3 linked regions of the Astyanax mexicanus genome follow. The protein of the gene in region 1 purifies or fractionates together with the protein of each later gene. This does not show direct contact. Links are inferred from orthologs where the notes say so. Each region holds a gene or a part of one and is shown on either strand. Other genes may lie near its edges. The genes, in order: sirt6, g3bp1 and usp48.

Region 1 (7,173 bases):
CCACAACACAAAGCAGGACATTGGCGGGGCCATTCTAACACATGAATATTTGTATTTAAATCATCCCAGTGTAGCTATGGTTGTATGTTAAGGGTCATTGTCTTGTCTAAAGGTGAATCTCCTTCCCGGTCTCAAGTCTTTTGCAGCCTCCAACAGGTTTTCTCACCGGATTGCCCTGTACTTAACTCCATTCATCTTCCCATTAACTCTGACCAGCTTCCCTGTCACTGCTGAAGAAAAGTATCCCCACAGAATGAAGCTGTTATTTTTTTCTCCATACACAGTAGGGGTGGGCAATATTATATTGTATACAATATATCGTGACACAGAAATATCATGATATTAAAAATCCATATCATGATAATAGGGCTGTTCTGTCTTAAAAGTAGTCTATTATTTACTGTGAAGCTTTAGGTGTATTTATTGTATAATTGTTTTAGTTTGCAGTTTATATGCATGCACTAAATATTCTGCAATATTTTTTGCTGCATTATATTATTTTATGCTATATTATATATTTTGCCACATTATGATTATACTGTTATACTATTATACTATATTCCTGAAATGAATGAATTATTTATGTTTTCCTATATCGCCAAGTATATCGTTATCGCAAAAATACCCTGATATATCGTGATATTATTTTAGAGCCATATCGCCAACCCCTAATACACAGCACATTGCATTTAGACCATGTCAAATTTCTTTTTGATTAAAATTTCGAAAACCATGCATCATTTTCGTTTCACTGCTTTGTGTAGGTCTATCACTTAAAATCTCACTATAATATAGTTCATGGTTTTAAGGTGACAAAAGGTAAAAATGTTCAAGGGGTATGAATACTTTAGCAAACCACTACTGCCTGGAGGTGTATTGAGTATTTTTTTTTAAATGTCAAAATATCAAAAATAACATCCTGTACTGTAAAAACATATTTAAACTGGACCCTATATTGGGAACCTTTATTTACCAAAGGATAACATACTAACAAAAAAATCAAAGCAGCAAGTTACGTTCTTTGAAACTTTCTAACTTCTGATCTAACTGCATGTGGAGGAAAAGGAGTGTGAATCTGACTGTTACCTGAAATCAGGAATCCCTGCAGAAGTGCTGATTCCTGCTCCGGAGTGCACCACCATGTACTGAGAATCTCTGATCAGCTGCGCCAACGTCTCCACTTTAGCTTTCAAATCCTCTGCGCTATCAAACTCCTGCAAAAGAGAGAAAGTATTTAAATGTGGCCGATCATCAGGAGATACTGTGGCTCTATGACGTACTGCTTATTTCTGCATTTGGTCTTTTCTATTAGCAAATGAACAATCTGCTCAATGGTGTTTTCAACTGTAAAAAAAAAATATCACTGGCCAACTGCATATCTAATTACAAAGAAAGCGTAGTTAATTATGTTAACTGTATTTGTGGAATACAAACAATTTCTATTCTTCACAGTATGGATTCATAGAAAGAGCCAGAATGTCAACTCTGTTTAAGTTTTATTTATTCAGGATTTTTTTTTTATACAATTGCCAAATCTAAATATTTAACGTTACCTGGATATTACAGATATTATTTTATCCAAGTGTTTACAGCTGTGAACACTTCTGAAACACTTCTTCAGCTTTAAATCCCACAAACTAATTTACATTTTAGCTAAAGGACCAAAACACAGTCCGACTGTCTTAACAGTAAAAGTAAGCTGATGCCATTAAGGAAATGTTTGTCTTTCTGGATATATATCTGGCTATGTTTGGATGGTCCTGAACAAATACCTTGTCTTCAGGGAATATCACTTGTTGCACAAAGCTCTGCATGTATTCATCTACTACTGTATTAATATTTGATAATTAAAAAAAGGGAAAACAGTTTTTATTATTACATTTATATATATAAAAAAATTGATGTCCTAAAGTACAGCAGGAAGTGTCAAACATAAACATTAGCGTAAAACTGGAAATAAAAGCATTCGAAAATACGACTGACTGCAGAACAGCCTGACCACAGGATAACTTCACCATGGCACACCTACACTCTGGAAATAAGGTGAGGTGAACAAACACACATTCACACACTGTTCTATAATAAAAAGTAATTCTCAGGATGTTTAGCATATGTCACTCAGAAACTTCATGATTTAAAATAAAGGATAAAGCGCTGTAATTAGTATATTTTACATACACATATGTTAAAGGGTCTGTGACACACAACTACACCACCATGGGCTCTTTTGGGTTCAGTATAGCTGCCATATTTTATTAGAACTACCTTTTGGCAACTAACGTTACCGGCAAATGAACAGAGACTCTTATTATGGTCGGGTTTTCTGTTATATGGGCTCTTTAAATGCAAAATACATTAACTTATCTTGTTTTATACAGACTGCTTAACAAGCAGGGTATGCTTATGCCAAGCTTACATGCTGTAACGTTAGTGTTTTCTACTAAACCTTCTTGCTAACTTGTTAGCTAACCTAGCTTAGCTTACTAGCATCAACGAATGCAGCTCTTAGTTTAACGTCAACTATCTCAGGTAAAGCTACCTGACTTTATTTAACGTTAGTCACTAGTTAGCTATGTAGGCTAAGCTAGCCTTCATTTAAAAACAAAGCTTTACTGTAGCTAGTAACGTTACATAAAAAACAGTAATAAACATAATAATTATTTAGTAAATGTCATTTTTCAACGAAGTGTCTGACAAGAACCTTCACACACCGGTACAACAAAGCTTAGCTAAACTAGCTAACCAAGGTAGGCTAGTTAGCTTAGCTAAGCAGTAAACAGTGCAGCAGCAGCAGCGGCGGCGGCTTTAGCTACCGTTAGCGTTATTTACCTCAGGCAGCCCGCAGATTCCTTTATCCGCATACGGAGATAACCCCGCGGCGTAGTTAACAGACATGCTGAGCGCTGAGACTGCTGGCCTGCTTAAAAAGCGGGTGAATCGCAGAAAAATCGCCCTTAGATTTAAAATCCCGCGGACTTTTCTCTGCAGCCGGACTCTATTGGGCTCCAGTCGTGCTGTTTCTCCACACTACGTCATACAAAACATGTGCACTACTGTGCAGTTCGTGTGAAACAACGTCACACGTGCGGAACACCGACTCCATACAACAAAAAGATAGATAGATAGATAGATAGATAGATAGATAGATAGATAGATAGATAGATAGATAGATAGATAGATAGATAGATAGATAGATAGTAGGGGTGGGCGATATGGCTCTAAAATAATATCACGATATTTCAGGGTATAGTAATATCATATTCATATAGTATAAGAGTATAACAGTGTAATCATAATGTGGCAAAAAAATAATATAGCATAAAATAATATAATGCAGCAAATAATATTGCAGAATATTTAGTGCATGTAAGTAAAAGAAACACATTTTAAGATTATTCATAACATTTATTAATGTTTCTCTGTGTTAATTAATTACTGTGATGAGAGCATTATTTGTATCTTTTGGGAAACTAAAGCATTCTAAGGAATGTACTTACATTAAATAGAATATGTCATAAAAAGGCTTAGAATAGTTAACAATCAAAAAAATACTACATTTCTTAAAAAAACAGTTCTGAGGAAAGTTTTGTGCGTATTGTTTATTTTTTATATACATATTTGTTTATGTTTATGTACAATTTAGTGCACAACAAATACAACAATCCCACAGTGTATTTATTTACCTTTGTTTGAAAAACACAGAAACTTGACTAAATTCATTTAATTATGATGTGTGGTCCTATTTGTAATTTTTTATTGCTAATTTACTGAAGTTTTACAATTTCCAGTATAATGAATTATAACGCAAAGTAGTGAAAGTGGTTTTTATATTGGAGCATATGACTTAGCATTAATCTACGGTTTTTGGGGTGTGTGTGAGCGCGCGAGCACGCGTTGACCTGCAGGGGGCGCGAGAGCTCTATACTTGAGCATCTTTATTTTTTTCTGGTATCTCTTTTATCTCATGTACTACAAACCCAATACACACACACACACACACACACTACTCCTCTCTCCTCCATCAGGTACGGGCCATGCGCGTGACATGTGTCTAGAACAGAAAGTGAGCCCCCACGTTCTGTTATTTATTTAAGTATTTATTTATTTATTTATTTTTATTCCAGCTGTGCTCTTTCTTTTTTGCTTTTCTTCCCCTTGCCTTGCGCGCGCGCACGCGCTCGTTTGCGCCTGCGTATTATACGTGTATGTGTATGTGTGCGTGCGCGCGAGGGTGCCCGCCCGGGTGTGTGTGTGCGCGTGTGCATGAGTGTGTGCGTGTAAGCGCACGCGCGCGCGCCTGCGTGTGTATGTTGTTATTATTATCATCCCGCCTGCCTGCTCCTCACCGCGCCGCTCGCGCTCAGAATGGCCAGATTCACCCAGACTGAAGCGAGAAGGCAGCATCAGCATCAGCAGCAGCTTCAGCATCATCAGCATCAGCAGCTTCAGCACCACCACCTCCACCACCATCAGCATCAGCCTCCTCCACCCCACCACCACCACCAGCCCCAAATCCAGCCCCAGCCTACCCACGCCAGCGCGCTCCTCAGCGGACCGGGGGCAGCACCGAGCCAGCCGCCAGCGCTCGTCCTCGCGCAGCAGCCCCAGTACGCGCAGATCACGTTCGCCAAACCCATGAGCGGCTCCGAGGCCGTGTCCATACACGCGGACGGCGGCACCATGAAAGACCAGGACGCCATAAAGCTCTTCATAGGACAAATCCCGCGCAACCTCGAGGAGAAGGACCTCAAGCCCCTGTTTGAGCAGTTTGGCAAAATCCACGAGCTCACCGTGCTGAAGGACCGCTACACCGGCATGCACAAAGGTAAATGATAAGGATGCTTATAGGGGGTGTGGTGGTGGTTTTTTATCTGTGTATTTTGTGTGAATCTTTGTTTTTTTCTAAATGTTTTTTAAGTGATTTGAGAAATTTGCAATCATTATACCAAATGCACAAGGCTCGTGCGTAAACGATTAGCCAAACGGACTGTTGCTCCGTCCCTCTCTCTCTCATTCTCTCTTTTGATCTTTGTTGATCCCTAAATTTCTCCTCGCTCGTGCACGCTTACACACTTACACACCGATCCACACTTATACAGTAATGAATACATATTACTGTAGGAATGTTACGAAATGAAATCATTTATGTCATTTTATGTCATTAACCTATTAGCCATGATTAGACACGAAAACAGACACTTGATCAGGTACATGTCTTTTTCCTTTTTTTTTAATAAATTCACTTTTACAGCTTTTATACAGTCATTGTGTTTCTATTGTTGTTTTACATTTTTATTTTCTTATTTCTTTTGTGGCCAAAAATCTTTTAATCACAAAAGTTTACCATTACTCTTCAATTTCTTTTTTGTTTTTTATTAATATGCAAAAAATAGTGATGCTTTAAAACAAAATAAAACATGGCTGAAATTGACTAGTTTATCAAATATCAAATACTGAACATGTTTTTTTTTACAGGTTTTGATTCATTTTTGCACAAAATAAATAGCATAAATGTGCAGTTACAAAACTACAATTAAAAAAAGAAAAAAACTTTTACATTTTTTGTCATCATTAACACACAAACAGAGCACAACATGACTTATTTATTTTATATTTAATATTTATATTCCCGATTTGATCATGTCACGATTGTGTTTTTTTTTTTTGCCATTTTTGACCAAATAAATATTCGATGCACTGTCGATCAAAAGACAATTCATATTAAGAATCCATTTTTTTGTTCTTTGTTTGTGTTTGTTACGTTTGTTTTTAAAGCAGGCAGAGAGTCACGAGTCACGATCTGTAACTAACACACTGACTGATAGTGGTGGCTGCGCTCGTGCACGCTCGCGGTCACTCCCACTCCTCACGCACATTTTGCACGGTGTGCGTTCGCGTGTGGGAGCGCGCGTGTGCGTTTGTGCGCGCGCGCGCGCGCGCTCGCTCGCTCGCTCGCTCGCGGAAGTAGGGCAGCCCCGCGCGCACATAATGCATATGATTTAGGAGCCCCCCTCCACCCTCCACACATCACCCTCCCTCCCAAACCCCCCAACCCCCCAGTCTTCTTCATATTTCTATATAGGATGGAGGACTGTTGCATCGAGCGTGCGTGCGCGCGCGCGTGCATGGGCATGGGCGCTCATGCATTTTTGCTGTGTTCTTCTTTTTTTAAGAAATAGCGAATAAACGATGTTCAATTCGAGCATTTTTGTAGGTTTTTGTTTTATATTCTGACATAAAAACATATTTTTCAAGCATAATTTTTATTTTAAATATTTTTGGTCTGTAGTAACAAAAAAACGAGGGTGTATCAGCATGACGCTGTTATTTGAGATGTGTCTCTGTGTGTGTCTATGTGTGTGTGTGTACAAGAATGACACAGGATTATGAAATGAACAATACATCAGTCCATACAGCACTTGTAACCTGTTGTATTTATTTGTCTTGTATTTTGCTTTTTATACTCAGCACAGAAGTAGCAATGAGCTCTATCTATATGGAGGAAACACATCCATTCCATTACATGCTCTGAAGGCACATGCTTGTTACATAATCACTCATTTTAAAGGAGTACTCCAGTGTTTTCCAGCCTAAACTCTGTCTGCAGCATCTGTAACATACAGTCAGCTATGGACACCAATTGCAACATGTTTCCTCTGCGTCATGGCAGAAATATTATATATACACAAAGAAATGCACATAAAAACCATCAAAACTGATATTTATCAGTGGAAAGCTCTGTTAATGACACCCCAACGTATATTTTTCCAAATGTGCTGAGAAATGCTAGAACATCCATGATATCCTCAGAATAGGTACTGTATATTTTGTATGAAACCAACAACAAGATTGATTATGATACAAGATACATATCAGGGCTGATATTAGGGCTGCAAAATGCTGGTAAATATTGACCTGCTATATTTAAACAATAGTACAGGAGAGGGAGTACTATATTGTGTAATATTGGCCACAGGCCAAGTGCCGTAGGTCAGAACAGCAGTGCCAATATTACACGTTATAGCACGAACCTCGAGTGTATTATTGCAATTATACTACAGTTCCATTATCGCTGTTTATTAAAAGATTTTCAGTTAAAGGGGAAGAGAAAATATGATCTGCTTGTTTATAAACACTACACGAGTTAAAATAGTTCCATTGCTGCTCTGCTTG
Region 2 (7,849 bases), on another chromosome or scaffold:
TTTGACATGAGTTTGTGCTGTGCTCTCTTCATCACTTATTCTAATCACACTGTTATATTATAGCATTATAGGGCATAGCTGTGCTTATACACCTTAAGCATTGCATAACCCATTGTTTCTTAATCCTGCTTCAGGGAACCTGCTGTACTGCACAGTTTCAGCTGTTCCTTGTCTGAGTGAACCTGATACACCTCATCAAATGATTATCAGACCTTTTAGAGCTGGATCAGGTGTAGAGAGGCAGGGTAGAGATAAGGCTGTGCAGGACTGTGGGTTTCTAGGAGAGGATTTAGAAACACTGGGATAGTAAAAGCTTGCTTTTACACTCAACAAGCACTTTACTATGAACACTTGTACACCTACTCATTCGTGCAGCTGATCTTATCTAATTAATCATTTAGCAGCAGTAGAATAATGTAAATTAATGCATGCAAATAAAAGGCAGCAGGTAATTTTCATATCAGGGTCATAATTTTACTACTGTGTTTTTAATGTCTCATATAAAAAAAACGAGTTATTAAGAATTCTTTTAACTATTTATATTTCTTTGAATATTATATTATTAAATTGACTATCATATCAGATTTTTCACAACACAGAAATCCTATAATGCCAGCATAATTACTTTTATTTTTACTTTTTTATTTTCTGCATGCATGCTTCAATGAAAGGGTGAAAACATTTTGAAAATCCCAGCATTTGCTAAAAATATTTGAATAACCGTGATATACCATGTCAGGGTGGACATTTTTATATTTACCATAGCTAAACATGGAGACAGTATAAAAAAATATTAGGTGAAATTAGTATTAATAATTACTGACTATGCAGCAGGGTCTTCAATCCCTTGAAAAGAAAACAGTGTGAAGGTTGTTGTTGTCACTGATATTAAAGGTTGTTTTTTTAATGACAGTGTGCACAGGGAATTATTGGGATATGTTTAAATAGCTTGAATTTTTTTATATAAAAATAGTTCAATGAGTCATTAAAACACTCAGATTATATTAAAAAACATAAATATAATAACGTTTATTATTAAATCTGTTATATAACCCCTTAAAACAATTATTCTTCTAACTTAACCAAGAACACCCCCACATCAAAGAAAACTGTAGTACTCCTCCAGCACTAGGATTGTGAAGACTAGCACATGCCTCCTCCGATACAAGTGAAGTCAGCCACTGTCTATTTTTCAGCTGCCACTGATGCAGCATTACCAGGTAGTCGGTGCACTCAGAGGAAAGCGCAGCGACCCGGCTCTGATAAATCAGCTCGCAGATGCCTGTGCCAACTAACATTACTCTTGGAGAGATGTGTGAAGAGAGCACGCTGTCTAACCACCCACAGAGAGCAAGGCCAATTGTACTCTCTCAGACTCCGGCTGCTGATGGCAAGCAGCATGACCCGAGATTCAAACTGCCAATCCTCAGATCATAGTGACAGCGCCTAAGTTCGCTAAACCACCCAGAGCCATCCAAAAAAGTAGCTTAAAGTGAAGTTTAACATTCATAACATTCAAAGCATGGTAGCTGGGGTCAGATGTGCAGGTTTGAGTACTTGTAGAAATGCTGATCTCTTGGGATTTTCTACACAACAGTATCTTAGAGTTACTTAGAAAAGTATATTAAAGTCTAAACATCCTGTGATTAGCAGTTCTTCAGATATAAAGGCCCTGCTGATAAGAGAGGTCTGTGAAGTTGCCAGACTGGTTCTGTATTACAAAAGGCTATTGTATCCCAAACAACTACTTATCCGGTGGTCTCCTGAGTATACAACATGACCAGATCCAACCTACCAGATCTAAATACAGTGAAACCCACTATTGAATGGGATTGAGCCTAGTTACGTATTGTTTGTAAATGTGAAAAGGATCTCAAGAGGAACAGTGACGTGTGTACCCTGTGTTATAGATGGTGCAGTGTCACATGTAAGTTTGTTGTTATGTTGTTATGTCTCAGTATGCTCTTTGCAACAGGATTTCATTCATTACCTAATCACACCTTGAGAACAGGAGATTTACATTATGATGTTGCTCCTTAGAAATCTGGACCAGAATCTTCAAGTGTTTCCAGCATCTTGTGGAATCCATATCACGAAGAACAAAAAAAAAACAGCCTACTCAGTATTACTATAGTCAGGCTACTGTTTAAATAATGATCGTGAATTCTCGCAATGCTCATCATGGTGTTTATCAAAACATAAAATCCTGCCCTTCAACACAAAGACCCAATCAATTTGCTGGTTAAGCTGTGAGCAGGGGAGGGTTGGGTCATCATTCGCCCTCAGTGTGGAGACCTGAGCAAGGGCAGCAACCATGATAAATGTTTTTTTTTTTATGATATATTGAGCCAAACACTACAAATTGTTTATGATTTGCTACACATATTTTATCAGTGGTGTAAAAAATGTAAAAAAAAAAAAAGGGTTGGTTTCATATGACTGGAGATAACTGCCTGCCTGAGTGATCAGGATTGGCTCATGTACTTTCCTATAGTGTTCAAAATAAGTGACTAAATATAGTAAAACATTCACTTTGTGTGTATTACTTAAACATGACCTACAGATAAATAATTCTAATAGAAAAGAATCCTACACAAGTGTTGTAATAAATATTAGGACTATAATATTGGGTAGTAGTGCTGCCTTTAGGTCTTTCTCTGAAAATCTTACCTATAATCTATAAAAATGCACTTTATTTTTTTGCAGTGTTAATGCTGAATAACATATAGTAAATATAGAAGAAGCTACTGGTGATTTTCTACCACTGTTCCATGAAGAATGTGCTGGCATCTCGGTGTGGGGTGGAAACTGCTCAGCGGCAGACAAGAGAGCTCTTCAGAGGATCATCACCACAGCACAAAAGATCATTGGTTGCTCACTGTCCTCCTTAGAGGATCTTTTCAGCTCTCGCTGCATCAGCAAAGTAGCCGACATACTGAAAGCCCTATCCCATCCTTGACATCACCTGTTTGTATTTATAAATACCTGTAGGTATTCTCTGTATCTCTGTATTCTAGTTTCTTCATTCTTTATAATGTTACATTATTTTATTTGTTCTATTTTTATTTTCATCTGGTATGTATGAATACCAATGGGTTTGCTATTTAATTCTGTTGTACTTTGTGCAATGACAGTAAAGGAATATATTTGTATATTTATATATTATTAGGGGTAAAAATAAAGGCAATATATTTTTGGCCTTATTTAAGTGTGGAGATAATATTTTGAGTTTTCATTCATTTTACTTTCTAATTAAAAATTAATATATATATTAATGTATTTAATAATAACTGAAAAGGTCATATATATTATAATATATTACTTTTAATATTATATTCTCTGATAATATGTTGAATCTGTGTTCATTTCTGTATCTTGGACACAAATTAAATAAGATTCTATATTTCACCATCACACAATCTAAACCAGGGGTCACCAACCTTTTTGAACCTGAGAGCTACTTCTTGGGTACCAATTAATGCGAAGGGCTACCAGTTTGATACACACTCGTGAAATTACAAATTTTCTCAATTTACCTTTAATTATATGTTATTATTAATAATTAATGACATTCATCTATGTGAAGACACAGATATCAATAGGCAACACTATTATTATAAATCTCTGCAAGTGTTTACATTTTATATTATATTTTAATATAATATTACATATTATATTACATTATATTGTATAATAATATATAAACTATAGGCTATCTCTAAGCTAATATTAATGTAATATAATCTAAAATTACATCAATGCAACTGTGATTTAAAAAAAAAAAGAATAGCAACAAAAATGCTATTTTTAGACCAGGCCTGCGGGCTACTCATAAGGTCCTTGCGGGCTACCTGGTGCCCGCGGGCACCATGTTGGTGACCCCTGATCTAAACTAATCCAAAAACAGATAAAAACATATAACATTATTTAAGCAAGTTAAACAGTATCTTATTGCGTTTACATTTTAGTATGTTGTTTATTCTCAAATCTTGTATATGATAATATAATACTGATTTTTAGATTATAGTACTGTATAGCATACAGTGTACCTATTCTACAGCTCTGTAAGAGACTCTGTAAGAGACCCTTTAAAAAAACTTTAAAACCTCTGGAATATAATCAAGAGGAAGATGGATGATCACAAGCCATCAAACCAAGCTGAACTGCTTGAATTTTTGCACCAGGAATGGCATAAAGTTATTCAAAAGCAATGTGTAAGACTGGTGGAGGAGAACATGCCAAAATGTATAAAAACTGTGATTAAAAACCATTTTAATGGTTATTTTCTTTGCATTATTTGAGGCCTGAAAGCTCTGCATTTTTTTGTTATTTCAGCCATTTTCCCATTTTCTGCAAATACATGCTCTAAATGACAATACTTTTATTTGAAATTTGAGAGAAAGGTTGCCCGTAGTTTGAAAAATAAAACAACAATGTTCATTATACTCAAACATATACCTATAAATAGGAAAATTAGAAAAACTGATTCAGAAACTGAAGTGGTCTTTTAATTTTTTTCAGAGGTGTATTTTATCTTATGTTTAATAACATTTTCTTTTACAGTACATTATACATATTTGTACTGTAAAATTATATCGATTTAATCAATCAATCGAGCAACCATTCAGCAGTCAGGTTGTCAAACCCCACCTTCAGGATTAGCCTATTAAACCTGACCATACCCGAACACCACGGTGTGTGGCTGGTGTGTGGTAAATTAGCGAGCTCTGTTTTGATTGGGTGATTGTGGGGCGCCTCTCTTCGCTCGGCTGCTGATTGGTTGGATGGGCACCGTGCTGGGAGTCTATTGGCCTGGGTTAATCGCATGCCTCTCCGCCGCAGCCGCAGTTGAAGCGAATTTGAAACCGGCTAAGCAAGCGCTGCCATTCTCACTCCACCAGGCGCAGGAGGCGATTACATAAAGCCGCTGGACATTTCTACACTGAAACTAGAGCCTCCCCCTCCTGGTGAGCGGCCTGAATATTACGATTTACAAATTACAACAATACTGTTTTATCGTGCGGGAAAAGGTTTTTGTTTGGTCGAGCGGGTTCGATAGTTAGTTAAATAGTTTATTTAGCTTGTTAGCTTAGCGGCTTGGGTATAATGGGGGCTTATGGACTGTAGCTAGGTTACATAGCTAACGCTAACGTTACCCTCCCTCTCTTAATGATTTCATTTTAACTTTGTCACGTTACTCTGAGAAAATACGATATATTTGAGTATAATGACATTAGCTAGCGTTGGCTGTGGGTAGAGTGTAGCAGAATTAGTCAGTTAGCTCGCTCGCTAGCTAACTAGCTAGTTAGCTTGTATGCTAAGATAAGGCTATTGTAATTCAATCAGGTATCCTATCAGATAGCTTAGCTAAAGCTAGCTAACGTAGCTAGCGAGGTTTCCGGCTAGCCGGGTGAGTGTGAATAACGCTAACAAGACTATTAGAAGTGACTTAAATGTGTATCTTAAGTTAGTGGGTTGATTATTGTGGTATTTTAATTATTCTGACTGTTAAAATCAATAATACTTTTTTAGTAATTGTACGTGCCTGGTGTTCTAGGGCACAGCGCCCGGTTAGCTAACCACAGCTATCTTGGCTAATCTGGAATAATGGTGAGCACGTGCTTATTTCTGAGTATGCCTTTATAGGTATAGCTTTAAAAAATTGAGTCAAATTGGTCGTCAGTTTCCACTGTGTTTATAAAGCTCTGGAGGGATGACCATATACGTCTCATTTTTCACAGATAGCTAGCTAGTTAACCTAACTCAGCTAGGCAGGTAACGTTAGCTTTAACAAAGCCTGGCTGGCTCAAACTGGCAACGAGGCATCACTGAGCGTGGCTTAATCACATGGGCCTGGTTAGCAAGCGAGCTAGCAGCGTCTCACGTTCGCATCTGAGGCTAGCTAACGGGGGCTGAAAGGGTGTGCCTTCCGCTGCTACTGCTTGAAACCAGCTTTACTGATAGAAACGTGCTTGGAAACAAACGGCTAATTATTTGATCTCCGGGAAATCCTAGTACCGCAGTCTTGATAAGCTCAGCTAACCGAGGTTTTGTTTATACAGGTAATAAAACAGCTAGTAAATTAATAAAATTATTCTATATTATTCCCTCACCGGAGGATTAATATATAAATTCGGAATATTGCAGCAGCACATGTGACATGACAGAAAATAAAGCAAAATACACACATTTAAAAGTCTATGTTCAAAAAATATATATGAATCTAGAAAATTTACGATTTCTGTAAGTGTGATTTCCTAGTATAAAATATTGATATTCTTCAAATATGAGATTTACGATTTAGGTTTGTATTTCTTACATAACTTGATTGTTTTATTTAGATATTTTTTAAAGATTTAAGATCTTGAATATCCTATTTTGAAAATTGTTTCAAAACAGTAATTCAACAATCAAATTAATTCGATTAACCCCCCAGCCCTAACAGTGTGTATGTGTTGTGGCAAGCAGTGGACAGTGCAATAAGTGATTTTATTGCACATAGTGATGGTAAGCAGATCATGTTACACATGCTGAATTGAGTTATTGCACATAGTAGAACAGTAATAAGTAAAACAGTTTATTGCACATTATCAGTAGTAGAAGTAAGTGGTAGACTGAGCAATGCCTCATTCACTATATATCACTTGCTGTGTAGTGAATTAATTTAGGAAACAAACAAACGTCTGCTCAAAGGACCTCGGACAAAACACCACTCTGATCCATTGTGGGTATTTGATGGTGAATTACATACAGAATAAAATGTACTTTGTGGGATTTCAAACAGCACTACAAAATGTTTGGTGCACTTTTCTTGTAATAGGGAGCCATTTTCAATATTTTCTTTTCTTGGTGTGTGTTCTGGGTATCTTAGATACTGGAGTGGTAATATTTTCTCTTAATCTCTTTCAGTTGAAACCAGTTGACCAAAGAAATGGTGATGGAGAAGCCAAGTGCCCAGCTTGTCGGGCGAGAGTTTGTCCGACAGTACTACACTCTTCTGAACCAGGCTCCTGACTACCTGCACAGGTGATTTTACGTGCTTTAACTTTTTATTTTATGTACAGATGCACAGTTTGTTTTAGTGTTCAAAGAAAATGGAATGCTTATTTGTCTTAATCCTTAGGTTTTATGGCAAAAACTCTTCTTATGTGCACGGAGGACTGGATACCAATGGGAAGCCAGCTGAGGCAGTGTATGGACAGTCTGTAAGTGAAAGAAAATGTGACTGTTCTTTCTCAAATTCAAAGTTTACATTTCTGTATGATTGACTTATTTGTTCCATTGCTAAACAGGAGATTCACAAAAAAGTGATGGCACTGAGCTTCCGTGACTGCCACACTAAAATCAGGCACGTCGATGCCCATGCAACCCTGAATGAGGGCGTGGTGGTGCAGGTGATGGGAGAACTGTCCAACAACATGCAGCCTATGAGGAAATTCATGCAAACCTTTGTGTTGGCCCCTGAGGTATGTACATCTGGCTAGTATTTCAGATTGTCAGCAATTATTTCCAAAAATAGTACAGTTACAGTTGTTTGCAAGTCCACACTGTAGAACAGATTGTGGCCAAAATAGAAAAGTTAAGCTTTATTTTAATATTTTTGGCCATTATGAATATGTAACGGTAGTTGCTGGATTGAATATTCTGATTAATTTGTGATTCTATTTCAGGGTACTGTCGCAAACAAGTTTTACGTACACAATGACATTTTCCGCTATCAAGATGAGGTCTTTGGGGACTCGGACTCTGAACCTCCTGAGGGTGAGTCACTGGAACATTATTTAAAGGGTCTTTAACGTAGGCCAGCTCAGTGCATCACAGATGGCATTGTTTATCTTTGGACTTTACA
Region 3 (7,484 bases), on another chromosome or scaffold:
CCGGACACGCTGGGTCACCAACTGTCCTTCATTGAGCACTAATATTTTGGCGATGTTCTGACCCTGTGTCTCAGTCATCTAGATATCAAAAAAATAAAAACTGTCTCTGGATGAAATGGTTCAGATTCATGCTGCAAATACGTATGCTGCCAATATGCTGCAATATCATCTTCAACAACTGACCATTCACTTGCTGCCTAATTTATATCTCCAGCTCTTGAAAGAAGCCACAGGAACCACAGCATCAATGATATTTACTTCACCTCTCAGTGATTCTAATGTTATGGCTGTTTAGGGCAACATAAGTAACATTACATCCACAGGTTTCAGGTGGATTTAGTCACAAGGTAAACATATTTAGATATATGTTTAAATATACACTTTTTAAAATAAATTTCAAAGGACAAATATTTTCATTTTTTTGGATAACGAGTTTGTCTTTATAAGGGTAATATATTAAAATATAAAGTATTCTTCAAATATGTTTAATGTTTTGAGTAATTTAAATGCAGTAAATTAATACAACATTATAATATATAGATTTGTAACTGTATGTATTGTAGTTAGTTGCAAATGATTCTAAATTGTTTGCATGGAATAAAAAAAACTATTTAGATGATATCATTGATTTATTTAAAAATTTGAAAGATATGTAGATATGAAAACATTCCTTTAGACTTAATTTTAGATGTAAATCTCCTGTATAATATACAATATAATATAATATAATATAATAATATGTTAAAAAAAATCTTAAAATAAAAAAATACTTGTTTTATTTTACAAATGAAAAATGTTAAAATGTGAAGGTTTACTTTAAAAATATTATTTTTTTGTTCAGATGTTAATATCATAGAGAAAGAAACAAACCATGCTAAATAATTTGGTAGAACAAAAGCATATTAAGCTAATAAACCGTGTATATTTAGCTAAAAAAAATTGCTATATTAATAATTTCGTACCACAGAAGATTGTTAAGGTCATAAATAAAATCGACTGTACATTTGTTATTTACATTCCCAATATCAAGGATTTTGTACCACATAAAAAGGTGTAACGTTACATTTTACTTTATAAATTTGCAATATACATATTTTTAGACACTTTATTTTGATATTATTAAACTAAAACCACCAGAATTAACGGTACATTCTCTATATAAATTCACAATATTAATTATTTTGTGAGTGCATATATTATATAAAAATATATTTGTGTGCTATTTTAGCTTCTTAAGCTAATTACAGCTAATCACAGTGGCGGGAAAAAAATAAACTCTGAATTAAAGTTGCGCTGCTGTTAAATGTACCATAATAAGTATTTAATTATTATTTTTTATTTAAAGATATTTATGTAGCCTAAATCTAGATATGTGGGTTTTAATTATTATTAAAAAGCCACAATTAACAATTAACTAGGGGTTTTAGAATCAGACTAAACAAAAACTCTCTTTTTGTAAACTTTAACTAATACATGTGGGTGATCCAGGTCCGGTTAATTTAAAATCCATCCCAGGATTTACTTCCAACCGCCGCAAAGGCTCTGCTGCAGCAGAACTGCCCGTGCGTGTTGGAACGAAATTCCGGAACGGATTTATACTTTAGCCAACACCAATAAAGAAATCCTTGATAAATCTCCAAAACTGAGCTTCCATCTTCATACCTGTCTCGATGGCGTGAGCCCTCAGTGCCATTAGGCTGAAAATAAGCAACCAGCCGGGCAGGAGATGAACCCGCGGCCGCTCCGGCTCCCTGCTCATCCCGCTCCTCTGAAGTTCAGCTAAGACTCCAGAACAGGGTCCACGCTCTCCTTCAGCTCCTCCTGAGAACACACTGCTCCATGCTAAACCTCTAAAACTGACCGCATTTCAGTTTATACGGGAGAACTGAGCCAAAAGTGGAGGGGTGAGGTCTTCAGAGGAGGGGCAGCAGAGACCCTGGATGACTCCATTCATTGCCACCATCCTCCATCCTCTTGTTTAAGTGTGTGTGTGTGTGTGTGTGTGTGTGTGAGATCCTGGTTAATAATTTCAAACAACATAGGCCTACCTCTTTTTTTAACCACTAATAATACATATTATCCCAATAAAGCCCATGTGCATATGTGTCACAATTGAAGGATGTGAAAAGTATTCACATGCATTACTCTGTAGGTAGAAGTATATGTACTAAGGTTTAAAATACTTCTTTAAATGCTGAGGTACCAACTCTTAAGCTTTTTTTTTAAAGTGTAAAAGTACTGGTTTCAAAACTATTTTAAAGTATTAAAGTAAATGAAATGTAAGGACAAAAGCTTAGGCAGCACCACAGAGTCCTATAGTGCACTACCCTTCCTCATTAAAACATATTTTCTAAAAAGCCACAATGACTATAATGTTATATTAAAATGTTAATGTTAATAAAGTTGGGATGCACTAGACTACCAAGTGCTTCAGCTGCATATATGTTCATTGAAAATGAATGCATTTTAATACAATGCAAATATATTCAAGTTATATCTTAGTTGTGACATTTCCAGAGCTCGAGTTCTCTTGAGTCTCTCTGCACGGGTCATGTTCATACTAAGCTATATACGTCTGCTATGCTCTTGCTGGAGTGTGGGGGGCGTGACTTGATGTGCAGGTGTGATGGATCACAGTATAAACCAATAGGGAGTCGGAATGGTATATGTTTATACTTCTCTACATCCAACCACAATCAGATTCACTCTATCTGGATGGAGAGATTTATCTGGATAGGGTTTTTTTTTTAATGATAAGAGTCCGGAAATTAAACACAAACCAAAATTAAATAGGAGTAATTAGGCTATTTTTAAAATGTAATGAGTAGATAGTTCAGATAATTATGCAAAAAAATGTAAGGAGTAGAAGTAAGTCTGTACGTTTCTGTAGGAATTCCCCTGTAAGTATATAGAGCTGTGTAAATGTGACTAAGAACTCTTGACTCTCTGCTGACTCACAGGCATTTAACTGACCCCTCATAACCTAAGTTTTAAAGGTAAGTTAAGAGCCTTGTTAAAAGGCTTTATTTTATAGCTGCTTCTTTATTTGTAATTTTGACACTTTCAGCTTGGGGACCTTATCAGCTTAATGAAAACCACTGGGAATATTTGCTTCAACAAATTAATATAAAGACTGCAAGTATAATCGGTTTAAATACAGTGCACTTCAACTGCTTCTGAATTGTTTATTTTAAATTCATTGTGATAATGCATCTTTCTAAATATTTTTGGACAAAACTGAATGTATGTATTTGTATATATATATATATATATATATGTGAACTCACTGAAAAGTTACTTTATTTCAGTAATTCAGTAACTAATTTATTATATAGATACATTACACAAAGTGATCTATTTTAAGTGTTTCTTTCTTTTATTGTGTTGATTATGGCTTACAGCCAATGAAAACCTAAAAGTCAGTATGTCAGAAAATCAGAATATTAAAGACTGTGTATATCTGGACAGAGCATCGTCTCTCAAAAGTGAAGCCACCACAGGTCGGGCGCCCCCTGCTGTTCGGTTTCAGAAAGCTGTGTAACCCCACCCATCCCCATAGGTTTCAATGGCAAAACAGACAACTTTCAATCACGTTTTATTCCAACATACTGCACTTCTACATCCAATATTTAAATGTAACAGCTACTGTAACCTCTGCTTATATTGTCAAATTTTTATATCCCCACAGAATTCGTTTTTTAAAACTTTATTCAGCTCTATTCAAAAAAGGTGTGGTTATTGTAAAAGGGCTGGTTATGGGTAGGACCAATAACAGACCGTCAGCTCCGGTCTGCTCCGCTCTGCAGCCTGAGGCAGCCCTCAGGGGCGGGGTTATTTAAATGAGTAGGCTGTCTCTCCACAGTCTTTCTCCCTCCTCTGGTCTCTACTGCGCAGACTCGGGTTTCAGGATCGCCAACATGGCGGAAGATTTTGGCTTCATTTTCAATGAATGAATGGGAACGGAGACACGACGTCCATCTTTTTTTACAGTCTCTGTATAAGACCAATTGGTACTTTTGGCACTGTGGGCAGTGTGTCAAGTCCTGCTGGAAAAACAAATTTTCAGTGATATTTAACTTTTTTGAGATGCACTAGCAACTATGTACTTTTTTTAGTAATCAAATCTAATTAATCTATCAATAATACTATAATACTATTAACTATATTATTTGCAATATCTGAAATAATGTAAAACAAAATGGTTATTTAGCAAGAAAAGCACTTTTATTACAACATTAGAAAAATTGTTTCATAAATATCAAATCAGTTTGGAGCTCAGTAGCAAAAGCAGAACGAGACTCCCTACCTAGGCTGCCTAGTTAGGTGACGTGTACGCGAATCGGAACGCACCCGCGTCATCGGGCGTCATCGCGTACGCCTCCAACAAGTTTGAAAGTGAGGAAGGTAAAAAAATATATAATTTAAAAACAGAGCGAAGGGCGCTAAATACAAACACCCCCCGAATAAAATGTGAACAGTTCCGTTATTAAAGCAGCTCCACTAACACTGGCTTCACCACAAAAACAAGCGCAGGTTCGGAATCGCTTTTTTATTTTACTGCGGCTCTGCTAGCTTAGCTAGTTTAGCAGCGCAGCAGCTATTTTGTTGGCTTTTTAAGCTAAGCTAAGCTAGGCTAGGCTAGGCTAAGCTAAGCTACTGCGCAGCACAATATAGCTCGATACAGTACTGGGACTGGGTAGCTTTAGCTGATGCTAACGCTAGAATAGCAGGCGAATAAACAGATAAATACATGAGCTGGGATAGTACTGCTGTTTTTTCATTAGGTAGGTAATAAAGTTGTAGGTTGGCTTGTTAATTAGCTAGTTAGTTATAAGTTTTGACTGAATAAATTATTAAACAAATATCAGCATCTTTCTGTCGCAGCTATGCTATGCTAAGCTAACTAAGCCAATGGAGTTGATCTGATAAGGTAGATGGTCTGTTTACCGGCTGGCTGTAGCTGTAGCTAATGGAGTTACAGCTACAGTAGTTAACTGGCTAATGCATCAGCATCACAGAGTTCAGTTCACTATGTTTCTCTCTGTTTTTCTGTGTTTCTCTGCGTTTTTTGTCTTTCTGTTTCACTCTTTCTGTTTCTCTGTCTCTTTATGCGTGTTTCTGTTTCTCTGTGTTTTTCTGTTTCCCTGTGTTTTTATGTTTCCCTGTGTTTCACCCTGTTTCTCTGTGTTTCTCTCTTCTCTGTTTTATTTTCTGCCTTTCTTTTTCTCTCTGTTTTCTGTGTTTCTATTCGCCTGTGTTTCTCTGCATTTTACTGTTCCTCACTGTTTCTCTGCGTTTTTTGTTTCTCTGTTTCTGTTATTCTCTGTGTTTCTCTGTTTCTGTTATTCTCTGTGTTTCTCTCAAAGTTTTTCTGTTTCTTTGCACTTGTCAGTATTTCTATGTATTTCTCTGTGTTTCTCTGTTTTAGTGCTTTTTCTCTGTGTTACTCTGCATTTCTCTCAGTGTTTTTCTCTGTTTCTCTGCATTTTTCTGTTTCTCCATGCTTCTCTTTGCTTTTCTGTGTTTCTATGTGTTTCACTTGTTTCTCCCGGTTTCTCTGCGTTTCTTACTGCTTCTCTGCATTTCTCTGTTTCTCTTCTGTTTTTTGTGTTTCTTTAAGTTTCTGTGTTACTCTGCATTTCTCTCAGTGTTTTTGTCTGCGTTTCTCTGTGTTTCTTTCAGTATTTTTCTCTGCGTTTTTTTATTGTTTCTCTTTGCTTTTCATGGTTTCTGTGCGAATTATTTGCTAGCTCTCTAATGGTCTGTTCATGCTCTGTTTAGGTAAATAAAACTCACTCTCCTCTTGTTTTGTTTATTTCTTTGTAGGATGGCTCCTCGTATACAGCTGGAAAAAGCTGCCTGGAGATGGGTTGATTCAGTGAGACCAGAGGACATCACACAGGAACATATCGACTTAGCTTACAGGATCGCTGTATCCGCATGTAAAAGGGGAACATGCCGGTGGGTTAAGTTGCTGATTTTACTTATCAGGGTATAGGTTATAGGTGTAGGTATAGGTTATTTACTCATTAAAATCACAGAGAGCTGTCAGCAGACCCCGTTGACAAAAGTAACCTACAAGTACTAGTCGGAAGACCTACCCTTCTTCTAATTCAATGTGTTTTCTTACTTTTTATGATTTTCTACATTTTTCATTTAATATTAAACATATTAAAGCTATGAAGGAATGCATGTAAAATTATAAATTATTATTTATATTAGTCTAAGTGTTCTGCTGTCGTTCCCAGTCTCTTCCACTGTGTTATAATATCACTGACCATTGGCTGTGAAATATTTAGTCGTGAGGATATTTCATGACTGAACTGTTACCGTAATAGGATGCAGCACCTGTGCAACAAGTTCACTGAGCTCTTGAGAGCGACCCATTTTTTCACTAATGTTTTTAGAAGAAGGCGCTATAATAGTGCAATTTTGATTCTGTTCTGACACACAGGAGGAACTGCAAAGGGAACCCCAACTGTTTAGTTGGAATCGGGGAACATTTGTGGTTGGGGGAAATTGATGAAAATACCTTCCACAACATTGATGACCCAAACTCTGAGCGAAGAGACAAGGTATGACCACAAATATATAGACGTGTATAAAGGAATTTCTCTTGTTATAGGTGTGGAACATGGGCATCATTTTAAGGCTTTCAGTATGCAGCAAATATTTAGCAAACAAAATTATTTGCCAAAAAAAAATGCCAAAAATTCTCTTTCTGTCAATGCAGCAAACATGTCGGCAGTATTGACCCTTTTTTTAAGGTTAAGAAAGATTGAGAAAAGTGGCAAACTGAATGCAAAACCTTGCAAAAGTGTTTCATTTTAATCTGTTCCATTTTTGACCAAAAATATGCGTTGAAAATGGAATAAAATTAATACAGAAAAGATATCCTATACAAACTGTATGTCAAAGTGTATACTGTACATTGATATATTATAGAATGCACATTTGCTAGTGTTTTGGTTTAGTCTTTAAAAAAAAATCCTGCTCTTGATTGACCCTAAAAGTCTTTTAGTGGCCTTGAATACTAATGATGTCTTTATAAACACAGTCTGGAAGTTTTGTAAGGAGTTAAGGGGGATTCCGGTTAGTCACATTTACAGAAGGGGGTGGAATTGAATGGGTGTCGTGCCTCAGCTTTTGTGCTTAAACTCTTTGTGTGTCTTTGTGAACGTCACTGGTTCAGCAGTGCTTTACTGGAACTCTGCTTGGGGAAAATTAATAGGCGGTGTGTCATGGCAGCTTAGAGCTTTTTTACACCTTACATTAACATGTATCTCATGTCTCATTGTACTGTGCCCATCTTTATATGTTTTAGACGATACAGCATTAATTATATATTTTTTTTGCTCTGCATTTAGAACACTTTTGTGGGCCTGACAAATCTTGGTGCCACGTGTTATGTAAACACCTTCCTCCAGGTGTGGTTCCACAACCTGGAGCTGCGCAGGATGCTCTACATGTGTCAGAATTCCAGG

Evidence for each region.
Region 2: the proteins of sirt6 (region 1) and g3bp1 purify together in Homo sapiens (affinity purification with mass spectrometry; 3 studies listed by BioGRID and IntAct, with this or other methods). This does not show direct contact. The link is inferred for Astyanax mexicanus from reciprocal best matches to the Homo sapiens genes SIRT6 and G3BP1.
Region 3: the proteins of sirt6 (region 1) and usp48 purify together in Homo sapiens (affinity purification with mass spectrometry; 3 studies listed by BioGRID, with this or other methods). This does not show direct contact. The link is inferred for Astyanax mexicanus from reciprocal best matches to the Homo sapiens genes SIRT6 and USP48.

The regions. Positions count from the first base shown.
Region 1 is NC_064411.1:46,344,351-46,351,523, reverse strand, and holds the start of sirt6 (NAD-dependent protein deacetylase sirtuin-6), read right to left. Parts: upstream 3,027-7,173; 5' UTR 2,896-3,026; coding exon 2,830-2,895; intron 1,215-2,829; coding exon 1,087-1,214; intron 1-1,086. Other genes in the region: zgc:165603 (CUGBP Elav-like family member 5), read left to right, coding at 4,366-4,825. UniProt on the Homo sapiens protein: NAD-dependent protein deacetylase, deacylase and mono-ADP-ribosyltransferase that plays an essential role in DNA damage repair, telomere maintenance, metabolic homeostasis, inflammation, tumorigenesis and aging.
Region 2 is NC_064417.1:39,196,672-39,204,520, reverse strand, and holds the start of g3bp1 (ras GTPase-activating protein-binding protein 1), read left to right. Parts: upstream 1-4,837; 5' UTR 4,838-4,967; intron 4,968-6,909; 5' UTR 6,910-6,931; coding exon 6,932-7,026; intron 7,027-7,123; coding exon 7,124-7,205; intron 7,206-7,292; coding exon 7,293-7,466; intron 7,467-7,670; coding exon 7,671-7,761; intron 7,762-7,849. UniProt on the Homo sapiens protein: Protein involved in various processes, such as stress granule formation and innate immunity. Plays an essential role in stress granule formation.
Region 3 is NC_064431.1:28,429,273-28,436,756, forward strand, and holds the start of usp48 (ubiquitin carboxyl-terminal hydrolase 48), read left to right. Parts: upstream 1-4,412; 5' UTR 4,413-4,533; intron 4,534-4,678; exon of another isoform or gene 4,679-4,784; intron 4,785-4,952; exon of another isoform or gene 4,953-5,019; intron 5,020-5,826; 5' UTR 5,827-5,827; coding exon 5,828-5,961; intron 5,962-6,454; coding exon 6,455-6,575; intron 6,576-7,367; coding exon 7,368-7,484. Other genes in the region: ldlrad2 (low-density lipoprotein receptor class A domain-containing protein 2), read right to left, coding at 1,663-1,759.